2 linked regions of the Sus scrofa genome follow. The protein of the gene in region 1 purifies or fractionates together with the protein of each later gene. This does not show direct contact. Links are inferred from orthologs where the notes say so. Each region holds a gene or a part of one and is shown in the gene's direction. Other genes may lie near its edges.

Region 1 (5,502 bases):
CAGTCTGAAAACTGCAGCTGTCACTCCAGCTCTTTAAATCCTTAGGATTATATGTGGATAAATTTCTTTAACAAACCGACAACTGGTTGCATAAAAATGAGGCTTGTTCTTTTGAATACATTTCTGTAGTTAAAGTATTTTCCCTTAGTACAAGGTTGCCCAGCCAGTTTATTCAAACGTATCATTCCCATGACTGCCCGGAAGAGCAGGCAGTTAATGTCCCTTCTCCCCCGACCCCTGCCCTGGAATATAGCTTTTTTCAGTGCTCGACTGTCAAGCTGACCCGTGTCTGGGGAGTTTTTCGAGTCACTGACTACCATTCCTCGCCTGCGTCCCGCCCGCTGCTTCGGCTGTGGGTTGCAGGTGTCTCTGTCATTGATGGGGACAAGTGTGGAAACGGATCGACCGACCGTCGCTCTTCGGTGACGGAGGCAGCGTCTCGGGATTTTCCACCTCCCCGGGGGCCCAGCGCACCCGGCACGGAGAAGATGCTCCGTGAGCCCAGGGTTAACCGGAAGGAGGCCTTCGGAGCGGGTTAAAGGGCTGGCGGCCCGTGGACCTAGAGGCCTGGACACGTCGCCCACACGGGTGCCCACGAGCCAGGGGCTCCAAGCAGGTGCCCTCACTGCCTCGTGCCTAAAGGACTCCCTGCCACAGTTATTATAGGTGACGAGAGCGGATATGAAGTGCCACGTGTGACGCTTGTTCTTAATAAATGATAGCTGTATGTATTTCCTGCCTTACAAAATTAATAAAATGTGCGAAAATAAGTAAGTGCATTTCAGGAGTAGATATAAGGACTCTACCTCAGAACGAGGGCCTATCGCAAATATTATTATTCCCCAAATCTTTACGTATTTATGGAACAGTTTCCACTAATGCCGCCCCTTTGCTTATCCTAAGGGACATATTTGGAGAGGACTGTGTTAGCGTAAAGGACGGATCTGTTCTTAGTGTCACTGTGGATGGAAAAACTGCCAACATAAACTTGGAGACGCGGGTATGTAGCTGTTCCTTCCTGCATTGCAAGGCACTGGGGGATAAAGTGAACGCAAAAAATAATCTGGTTTGCAGTTTACTTTTGCATTTGGGCATTTCCTAGATTTAAAGATAGACTGTGTTTCTGTCGTCAGGTTTTTTTTTTTTTTTTTTTTTTTTGTCTTTTTGTCTTTTTGCTATTTCTTTGGGCCGCTCCCGCGGCATATGGAGGTTCCCAGGCTAGGGGTCCAATCAGAGCCGTAGCCACTGGCCTACGCCAGAGCCACAGCAACGCAGGATCTGAGCGGCGTCTTCGACCTACACCACAGTTCACGGCAACAGCGGATCCTTAACCCACTGAGCAAGGCCAGGGATTGAACCCGCAACCTCATGGTTCCTAGTTGGATTCGTTAACCACTGCGCCATCACGGGAACTCCTCTGCCGTCAGGTTTTACATCCATACTTTTACTTCTCGTTCTGCCCTAAGTGGTTTTCCCTGTCGCTGCAGAGGGTTCCTTTCCCACGTCTCGCTGACTCCCCCGGGCTCCATTTCCATAGTATTCCTCAATCCGCCTCGGCTTTCTCTACTTTGGCCTCCATGCGATGCAGGTTTTCCAGAGAAGCGGCTCTCCTGCTCACAGCAAGATCCAAGTGGCTTTTGCAAACAGTGGGATTCGTGTGTGCGGGGCCTGCAGGCCTTTAGGAATTATTTCATGAGCATAAGTGAATATGTGTCTCCTCCTCGGGGTGTGGGGGGGTGGCTTTTGAAGAGTAGAACAGTTCTGCTAAACCAGTAGCACATGTTTGGGATTTTGTTCATGTATTCTTTGACCGTATAGCTGTTTTGAGCAAACACTCGGTTTATTTTACCTCAATAGAAGAATAAGCCAAGAACACTAACAAGTAATTCGCTAGAGAAGAAATACAGCCAACAAGCACATGAAACAAATGTGTCAGATCAGATCCACTGAGAGTTAAAGGAAACACAGACTGAAAGTATAAAATATCACTCTTTCTGTGTTTCTGTCGGCACCGAGTAAAAAGAGTGCCGGGACCCGCTGGTGGTGAGCGAGGAGGGACACCGCTGCCCGCGGTTCCGTCGGGCCAGGGAGGAGGTTGTAGGGCGGGCAGGGCGTTCTGGCTGCAGCGCCGTTTGCTGATTGGCGTCCAAAGCCTTCAAAGTACATACCTGTATGCACGATGCCATTTGCTGGCTTTCACCAAAGAACATGATTAGGGAAGTGAGGAGATAGATAGATCGATATTTTAGCATCGATTATAGCAAAACTCCAAGAGACCTAAATATCCAAGAGTAGGAGATGGTAACTGAGTAAACACTGGGTCTGCTGTGCCCTTCGTCACGGAATACGCTCAACACAGCTACTGAGAACGGTGATGCAGGGTTTTTTGGGGGGGTTTCTTTGTCTTTTTAGGGCCACACCTGTGGCATATGGAGGTTCCCAGCTAGGGGTCAAATTGGCACTGTAGCCGCCTACGCCAGAGCCACAGCAACTCAGGATCCAAGCCGCATCTGTGACCTACACCACAGCCTGAGGCAATGCCGGATCCTTAACCCACTGAGCAAGGCCAAGGGTCGAACCCGCGTCCTCATGGATGCCAGTCGGGTTTGTTAACTGCTGAGCCACGATGGGAACTCCAATGATGTAGATTTATTAATGTGCAGAGTTGTCCATTACATTATTGAGTGAGGAAAAAAGTTACAAGATAGCAAATACGAATTATCCCATCTTTGTTTTAAAGAAATATATATATATATAGCCAGAAATCTAGAGGTTTATGCACTGAAATGTCAACAATAGTTATCATAGAATTAAGGGTGTTAGCTTTTCTTCCCTAAATTTTTATGTGAGGAATATTTATGGTGTGATAACCTTTTTTTAAAACAAAGTTTTTGTTGAGTTGATGACCATATCCAGTTCTTGCTAAATAATTTGTGTTGCATGACTTCCCTGGAGTGTCATTTACTAGATCAAAACATGGGCTTTGAAGTAAACATATTCTTTATTCCCTTTATTCTTTTTTTTTTCCCATAATTAATCCCTGGTCTGACTCAGTGGCGTCAGGAATCTCGGCATCCGGGTGCATGCCCACAGCTGTGCGGGGCAGCAGTTCTGGCTTCTGATCATCAAGAATCCTACCCCTTCAGCAAATGATTGTTCTTTTTGGGGGCGGGGGGCCCACATCTGCGGTATATGGAAGTTCCCTGGCCAGGGTCGAATCAGAGCTATATACCCTGGCCTACGCCACAGCCATAACAACATGGGATCCAAGCCACATCGGCAACCTACATCACAGCTTCTCGGCAACAGGGATCCTTAACCCACTGAGCGAGGCCAGGGGTCAAACCCGCAACCTCATGGATACCAGTCAGGTTTGTTACCGCTGAGCCATGATGGGAACTCCGGGAAATGATTGTTCTTAAAGAGCGTTAGTTTCTCTTTAACATAGTAATTCTAGACAGGAGTTCCCATCAGGGCTCAGCAGGTTAAGAAGCTGACGTAGTCTCTGTGAGGATGCAGGTTCAATTCTTGGCCTCGTTCAGTGGGATAAGGATCCTGCATAGGTTGCAGATGTGGCTCCGATCCCGATCCAGCGTTGCTGTGGCTGTGGTGTAGGCCGGCAGCTGCACCTCTGATTCGACCCCTAGCCTGGGAACCTCCCTCTGCCACAGGTGCAGTTGTAAAAAGAAAAAAAATCCACTCCAGACACTTGGGCTGCCAGGCATGTTTGTGCTCTCACTTTCAGACCGTGGAATGTGAAGAAGGGAGTGAAGACGACGAGTCCCTCCGAGAAATGGTGGAGCTGGCTGCCCAGAGGCTGTATGAGGCCCTCACGCCAGTGCCCTGACCCCTCACGCCTCTGTAGATGTTCAAACGTCGTGTCATGCTCGGCTCTACTGTTACTTCAAATAAAAGACAGTCATTTCCCTGGGGGCCTCTTTACTCTTGACGACAAAGGGCCTTTAGTCCAACCCTTAGATACCACTACGGGACCAGCTCATTTGTCCATCATTGAGGACTGCTCCTTCAACTGCCGGCTGCCGAGTCTGCTCCAGGGACGGATGCAGGACCCATGACACCGTGAAGACCCCCCCACACTGCGGGAGCAGAAGGGCTGGTCCTCTTTAGGGAAAGGACATGCATGATGGCCGGAGCTTTCATATCCATGATCTGAATTTGGATTAATAATTAGCGCTTTTCAACGTCTTAAGCCCCTTTTCTGTTTCTTCCCTCCCGATAGTCTTTCCAAATTCCTTAGTTTATATGTTTGTAAAATTAGAATTTTCAAGATTCAATAATGTTTTCTTTATGTAAGATCCACATTCAGTTCAGATATTCAAAAGATGCTTTTTATGATTCAGGTTCAAGGATGCTCATATGTTGTTGAGTTGTCTTATGTGTGTATTAATCATCAGTCCAGTTTTCTCAAGTACGAGTAGCTCAGACTTGCAAGGGCCTGGACACGGGTGTCTGGTCTTGTGCTGAGAGACCGGATCGACTCTGCCGGGGGTGGGGGCGGGAGGGGTCTTCGGCGTCTGCTTCAGTGAAAGGCTCCACCTGCTCCCTCAGCGGGAACGGAACAAGCAGGCCCTGGGGCAGGTTCGCCTTCACAGCCTGGCTGTGAAAAGTCAAAAAAAAAAAAAAAAAGATTCCTACTTAGTGTTTGGCCTAAACCAAAAGTCTGAGGGTCACCTTCTGTAAGTGCCATTTAAGATTTTGTTATGATAGATTTGATTTTATTTATTTTTGCTTCTTAGGGCCACACCTGCGGCATATGGAAGTTCCCAGGCTAGCGGTCTAATCAGAGCTACGGCCGTCGGCCTACACCACAGCCACAGCCACACCAGATACGAGCCTCGTCTGCGACCTACACCACAGCTCAGGGCAACGCCCCATCCTTAACCTGCTGAGCGAGGTCAGGGATCGAACACGCAACCTCATGGATACGAGTTGGATTTGTTTCCGCTGAGCCACGATGGGAACTCCTGTTATGATGGATTTTAAAACTTTTTTTTTTTTTTTTTTTTTTTGTCTTTTTAGGGCCGTACCCTCGGCATATGGAGGTTCCCAGGCTAGGGGTCGAACCAGAGCTGTTGCTGCCGGCCTACACCACAGCCACAGCAACTCGGGATCCTTAACCCACTGAGCAAGGCCAGGGATCATGGTTCCTAGTTGGATTCATTGCCACTGCACCACAACGGTAACTCCTAAAACATTTTTAAGTTACAAAAAATACACACTTGTGATATCTTTACAACACAGGTTATACACAGCAGAAAGGACGAGTCCTTTCGGAGTCCCGCTCCCTGAGGCAACCAGTTTCACTTAAGGATTCTAAACTGCTGTTCAATCTGCCCATCTCACCTCCAGTGTGCCTCTGACACCAAATCATCTTGTCCCCTCTGGTTCCTGCCGCAGCCTCCCTTCTCTGCCTACATTTGATTCCTAAAGTAGCAGACCTGCCCTCAAGCCTCCCCTGCTGAAATTTCTTCAGGGCTCCTT
Region 2 (4,650 bases), on another chromosome or scaffold:
CACTACATACTCTTTCTCTTCTACTCAAAGCCCCAAAAAACAATAGTCCCATTTATGTAGAAATGCATCTTTCCTAGTTTTTCCCCTACCTCTTCATACAGCACCTACTTCATTGTTCTAATTGAGGTTCAGTCATAATACCTACAACAGTAACAGTCAATACCTCCTGTCCTCATTCTGCTACAACTTGGAGGCAAAAGAAATGTGTCACTCTGGGAGTATGGCAATGAAGGGAAGACCCTCATAGACAATAGCAATGAGGCATGGGGTCACAAGCACATGGCCTATAACTGAAACCCAATTATAAAACACCACGAGCTTAGGAAATAGCCCTTACATACCTCTTCTTTTATAAACAGTAGGGGTGGTTAAATGAAGTGAAAGAATCAACAGTCCATTCTCCACAAATGGCTGACGGCAGAACATGCCCTGGCTAAGTGCCTCAACCTATTCTTCAGCGGTTCATTATTCTGGGCCATCAATCCACTATTACCAAATCTTAAGCTCTAACCAAAAATGGCAAAGAAAGAAAAGAGTTACGTCGTTAAATTCTCTGAGTTATACTGGTGGGCACTTAAGCATTCAGCCTCTGGAGCGAAAGCAAGCTGAGCTCAAATCATGACTTAGTTGCTAATTGCGTACTACTAGCCAATTACATTTCCTGTTCTAATGTTTTCTGATGCCCTGCCAGCCAACATCCTCCACGGCCTCGCCCCCTCACCATCAAGCACGTGAAGTCCACAGGCTAAGAGAGCAGACGGGGTCTGTTCTGTGTTTACCTCCCCATCTTCTCAGTATGTTGGCGCTTTGGCATTGGGTGCCCCTCATTCTCTAGGGTGCCGTAACTCTGTTTCCTCATCTCCCTCAGTGGGTACAGAGCTTTTGAGAAAGGATAAAAATGCACCCCGCTGGGGCGGGGCCAAGCATTTCCCCTCCCCTAACAGGGCGGAACTAAAAGGAAAGGGACGCAGCGTTTATCGACTTTCCGGTTACCATGGTAAAGCCGCCGCCGCCGCCATCGTTATTGTGGTCGACAATTACTTGCGTTAGCTTAAGAAAATAATGAACAATAAAGAATTATGCAGACTAAAAGCCTTCAAATTAGCCGAGCTCCAACACGGAACGTAGTTTTTCTCAGGCTGGAGCCCAGCCGGGAGGGAGTTAGCGCTCTCCTGGACGTGACGCGCGCCTGCTATGACGAAATGACGCCAGGGGAGGGGCCCTGCGTCCGGCCGGCTCAGAAGCGTCCGGCTCACGCGCCGTACAGAAGCGTGTTCGGCGCTGGGCTCATGCGCCGTACGGAAGTGTGCTCTGGCGCACCGGAAGCCCCCGGAAGAGAGCGATGGCGGGTTTGACTGTGAGAGACCCTGCGGTGGACCGTTCGCTACGTTCGGTGTTCGGTGAGAGGAATTCGGTGGATCCAAGCGTCCGGGAGGGAGAGAAAAAGACAGGGAACGCCGAGGAATGCCGTCCTGCATCTCATGAATCGCTGCAGGAGCCGGTGATGGGTCGGGCTTGCGCTCGACCTGCCTGTCCTGTCGGGCGGCCAGCTTGGTGGGCTCGTGGGCAAAGTGATGCTCCCCTTCCCCCGAGGCCTCAAAGCCTTTGCAAGATGTGGCCGAGGAAGTTAAACTAGCGTTCAGCTTCTATGCGTTTTCCTTTCGTGAGCCTCAATTATTATATAGAAGCGAGGGCTCATGGCAACTGCCCCGTACTACTCACCCCCTATCCCAGAATACAGTTTATATGCTGAGGATATAGATCTTTCTGTCCACTTCCCGCCCTCTCATAAGGGCTTTCATCCTCTGCTTTTCACATTTTAGTTCGTCGTTAGTGGTAGTGGCCACCCGGCGTCTTAAGGTGAACTGTAAATAAATGAATGAATGAATGATTAAGACCTATTCAGAGAAATTTTAAAGAGGGTCGAGTCTATTCTGAGCAATCTTTCAGGCCGAAATAAGTTGATTTTTAAAAGTATCTGGCGATTTTAAAGCACCTTTTGGGAGGGACATGACAAAATAGTTCAGAATAACTTTTAAACATCCTCTACGACATTCGTGGTCATTCTCCTTTGAGTGTGTGTATATGTGGAAATACTGGCATAGGAGCCGGCTTCATATATTATAATATTGACATTTTTAGCAGTTATTTATGACTTGCAGACTTTCAGGTAAATACCAATGCCTAAATATTTATTTTCACCATACTTAAGAAAAATGTAACACCTGTCAGTTCAGTCTAAGAACTAATACTTAGGGCATACACCTTTTGTGTTTCGTCTCAATGGTTTATTCCTCTTGTAATTAAAGTCAGTAGACACCATTGAATTCTTGTCTAAGAGAGTACAATGGAATCGGGATTGGAGGAACGTTGTGTTTGAACCAGTTGTTACATTTTCAGTGATATATGTAAATGTTTTCTTACTAAAGACCTAGATTACAAACTCAGAATTTTAATATATTATCTATTTCCTTCCTTAGTGGGGAACATTCCTTATGAGGCTACTGAAGAGCAATTAAAGGACATCTTTTCTGAGGTTGGACCTGTTGTTAGTTTCAGGTGAGATCCCCTTTTACTCCTTGGTGGAAATTTCTTAAAAATCACCACAAATTGGCCCCTAGTAATAATGGCAAAGTTTTTATTGGTGACTTTTCACATGCACAAAAAAATTCTTTTTTGTTTGTAACAGCTTTATTGAGATGTAATTCACACACCATATAATTCACATTCATTTTTGCTAAAAGATACATTTTTTTTTGGCCCACCCCTGGCATATGGAAGTTCCCAGGCCAGGGATCCAATCTGCACCACAGCAGTGAGCCAAACTGCTGCAGTGACAACATTGGATCCTTAACCCACTGTGCCACAAGATAACTCCTAAAAGTTACCTTTTTTTCCCATTTAGAAAGATGTGTAAAAAATATTTCAGTGACACGGAGCAGTAAGGTTGTCTTAAAGTAAACCACATTAGAACACAGCAATGTTAGTGGAAAACCTGCATGTATATAACATTCATGCCTGATACTTGGTTCTGCTCTCCAGGTTGGTATATGATAGGGAGACAGGAAAACCAAAGGGTTATGGCTTCTGTGAATACCAAGACCAGGAGACAGCACTTAGTGCCATGCGAAACCTAAATGGGCGTGAATTCAGTGGGAGAGCACTTCGAGTGGACAATGCTGCCAGCGAAAAGAACAAAGAGGAGCTGAAGAGTGAGTAAAAACCCAAGCTGTATGCAACATGAGTTAGTAAAGATGTAACAATGGAGATTTGCCACATAATCATATGTTTTAGCATCTGCTGAAATGGTTTTCAGCTACACAACATCTTTATTTGAGCCATCTGAGAGCTGCCTGCATTAGGGCAGTGTACACCTTTGAGAAATAAGTAAAGTTGACTTAAGACCTTCCGTTACCAAGGAATTGATTTCCAGCTGAAGATGAATTACAGGCTCAGGAAGCCGTTAGTAGTGCTAACTATGTCTGTCATTAGTGTCCGCCACTCCTATAATTATGTTACCAGATCTATAACTGGTAAGGATACCAAGGCATTCTCGTGGCTTTTTTTTTCATGAAGTAACAGAATCCAGAAATTCCATTTTGAAATTAGAATTAAACCCTTTTAACTGGGTCACAGTAGAAAAAAAAAATTGTATTGGGGAAATAACAATTAAAAAAAATTGTAAAAAAAAAAAAAAGAAACATTTTGCTTATGAAATGATTTGTAAAAGGAAATGGATATGCCTAGCCCCTAATTTAAGTTAATATTGTTCACTTCTGTGACCCTGGTGCCAGCTTTCCTCTGAGAGCAGAAGATACACTCTGTCACTTTCCTCCACAGAAATATGAGACTTGAAAATCACTTATTTCTCAGCTCCAGAAAATTTAAAGTTATCAACAGGGTCTTACAGCAACTCTGTAAAGAGTAGATACTTGAAATCGTTTAGCTCTTTATACTGCCTCCTTAACTTTCTTGTACTTTCTTCCCAATCAGGTCTTGGCACTGGTGCCCCTGTCATTGAGTCACCTTATGGAGAGACCATCAGTCCCGAGGATGCCCCTGAATCCATTAGCAAAGCAGTTGCCAGTCTTCCACCAGAGCAGATGTTTGAACTGATGAAACAAATGAAGGTAGGAGGAGGCACTAGCTTATGGATAAATCAAATCACATCAAATTTTCAAGGATTTCATTGATATGAATGATTCCCTGGTAGAAACAGAAAGTGTGCCTGTTGACCAACATTTCTTACACCTTCGGTGTATAGTGTACATTTCATGAAGAGTACTTTCCATTTTTTGTCCACAAACACACCTACACAATCTGGCTGGGATTTTGTGGCCCATAGATATCAAATCTAGATTTTAAAATACGACTTTTTTCCTAAATGATGGTATCATGATATTTGAAGTGCCTTCTTCCTTCTATTGCCTGCCATGACCAAGATTTTGTGTGCTATGTAAAAATTAATACCTTAAAAAGCCTCTTGAATGTTACATTTCTCAGATGCGAATAGCTCTAAATCATGATCAGTTTCTAAGTAATAACCTGATTGATGAATTGAACCGGATGACTGATCTCTTTATCTTCTCAGCTCTGTGTCCAGAATAGTCCCCAGGAAGCACGGAACATGTTGCTTCAGAACCCTCAACT

The links. Proteins that work in one complex are often made in the same cells at the same time.
Region 2: the proteins of CPSF3 (region 1) and CSTF2 purify together in Homo sapiens (affinity purification with mass spectrometry; 3 studies listed by BioGRID and IntAct, with this or other methods). This does not show direct contact. The link is inferred for Sus scrofa from reciprocal best matches to the Homo sapiens genes CPSF3 and CSTF2.

Annotation. Positions count from the first base shown.
Region 1 is NC_010445.4:126,867,391-126,872,892, reverse strand, and holds the end of CPSF3 (cleavage and polyadenylation specificity factor subunit 3), read left to right. Parts: intron 1-903; coding exon 904-1,000; intron 1,001-3,745; coding exon 3,746-3,847; 3' UTR 3,848-4,374; downstream 4,375-5,502. UniProt on the Homo sapiens protein: Component of the cleavage and polyadenylation specificity factor (CPSF) complex that plays a key role in pre-mRNA 3'-end formation, recognizing the AAUAAA signal sequence and interacting with poly(A) polymerase and other factors to bring about cleavage and poly(A) addition.
Region 2 is NC_010461.5:82,507,497-82,512,146, forward strand, and holds the start of CSTF2 (cleavage stimulation factor subunit 2), read left to right. Parts: upstream 1-1,242; 5' UTR 1,243-1,342; coding exon 1,343-1,400; intron 1,401-2,480; coding exon 2,481-2,559; intron 2,560-3,042; coding exon 3,043-3,212; intron 3,213-3,993; coding exon 3,994-4,130; intron 4,131-4,591; coding exon 4,592-4,650. UniProt on the Homo sapiens protein: One of the multiple factors required for polyadenylation and 3'-end cleavage of mammalian pre-mRNAs. This subunit is directly involved in the binding to pre-mRNAs.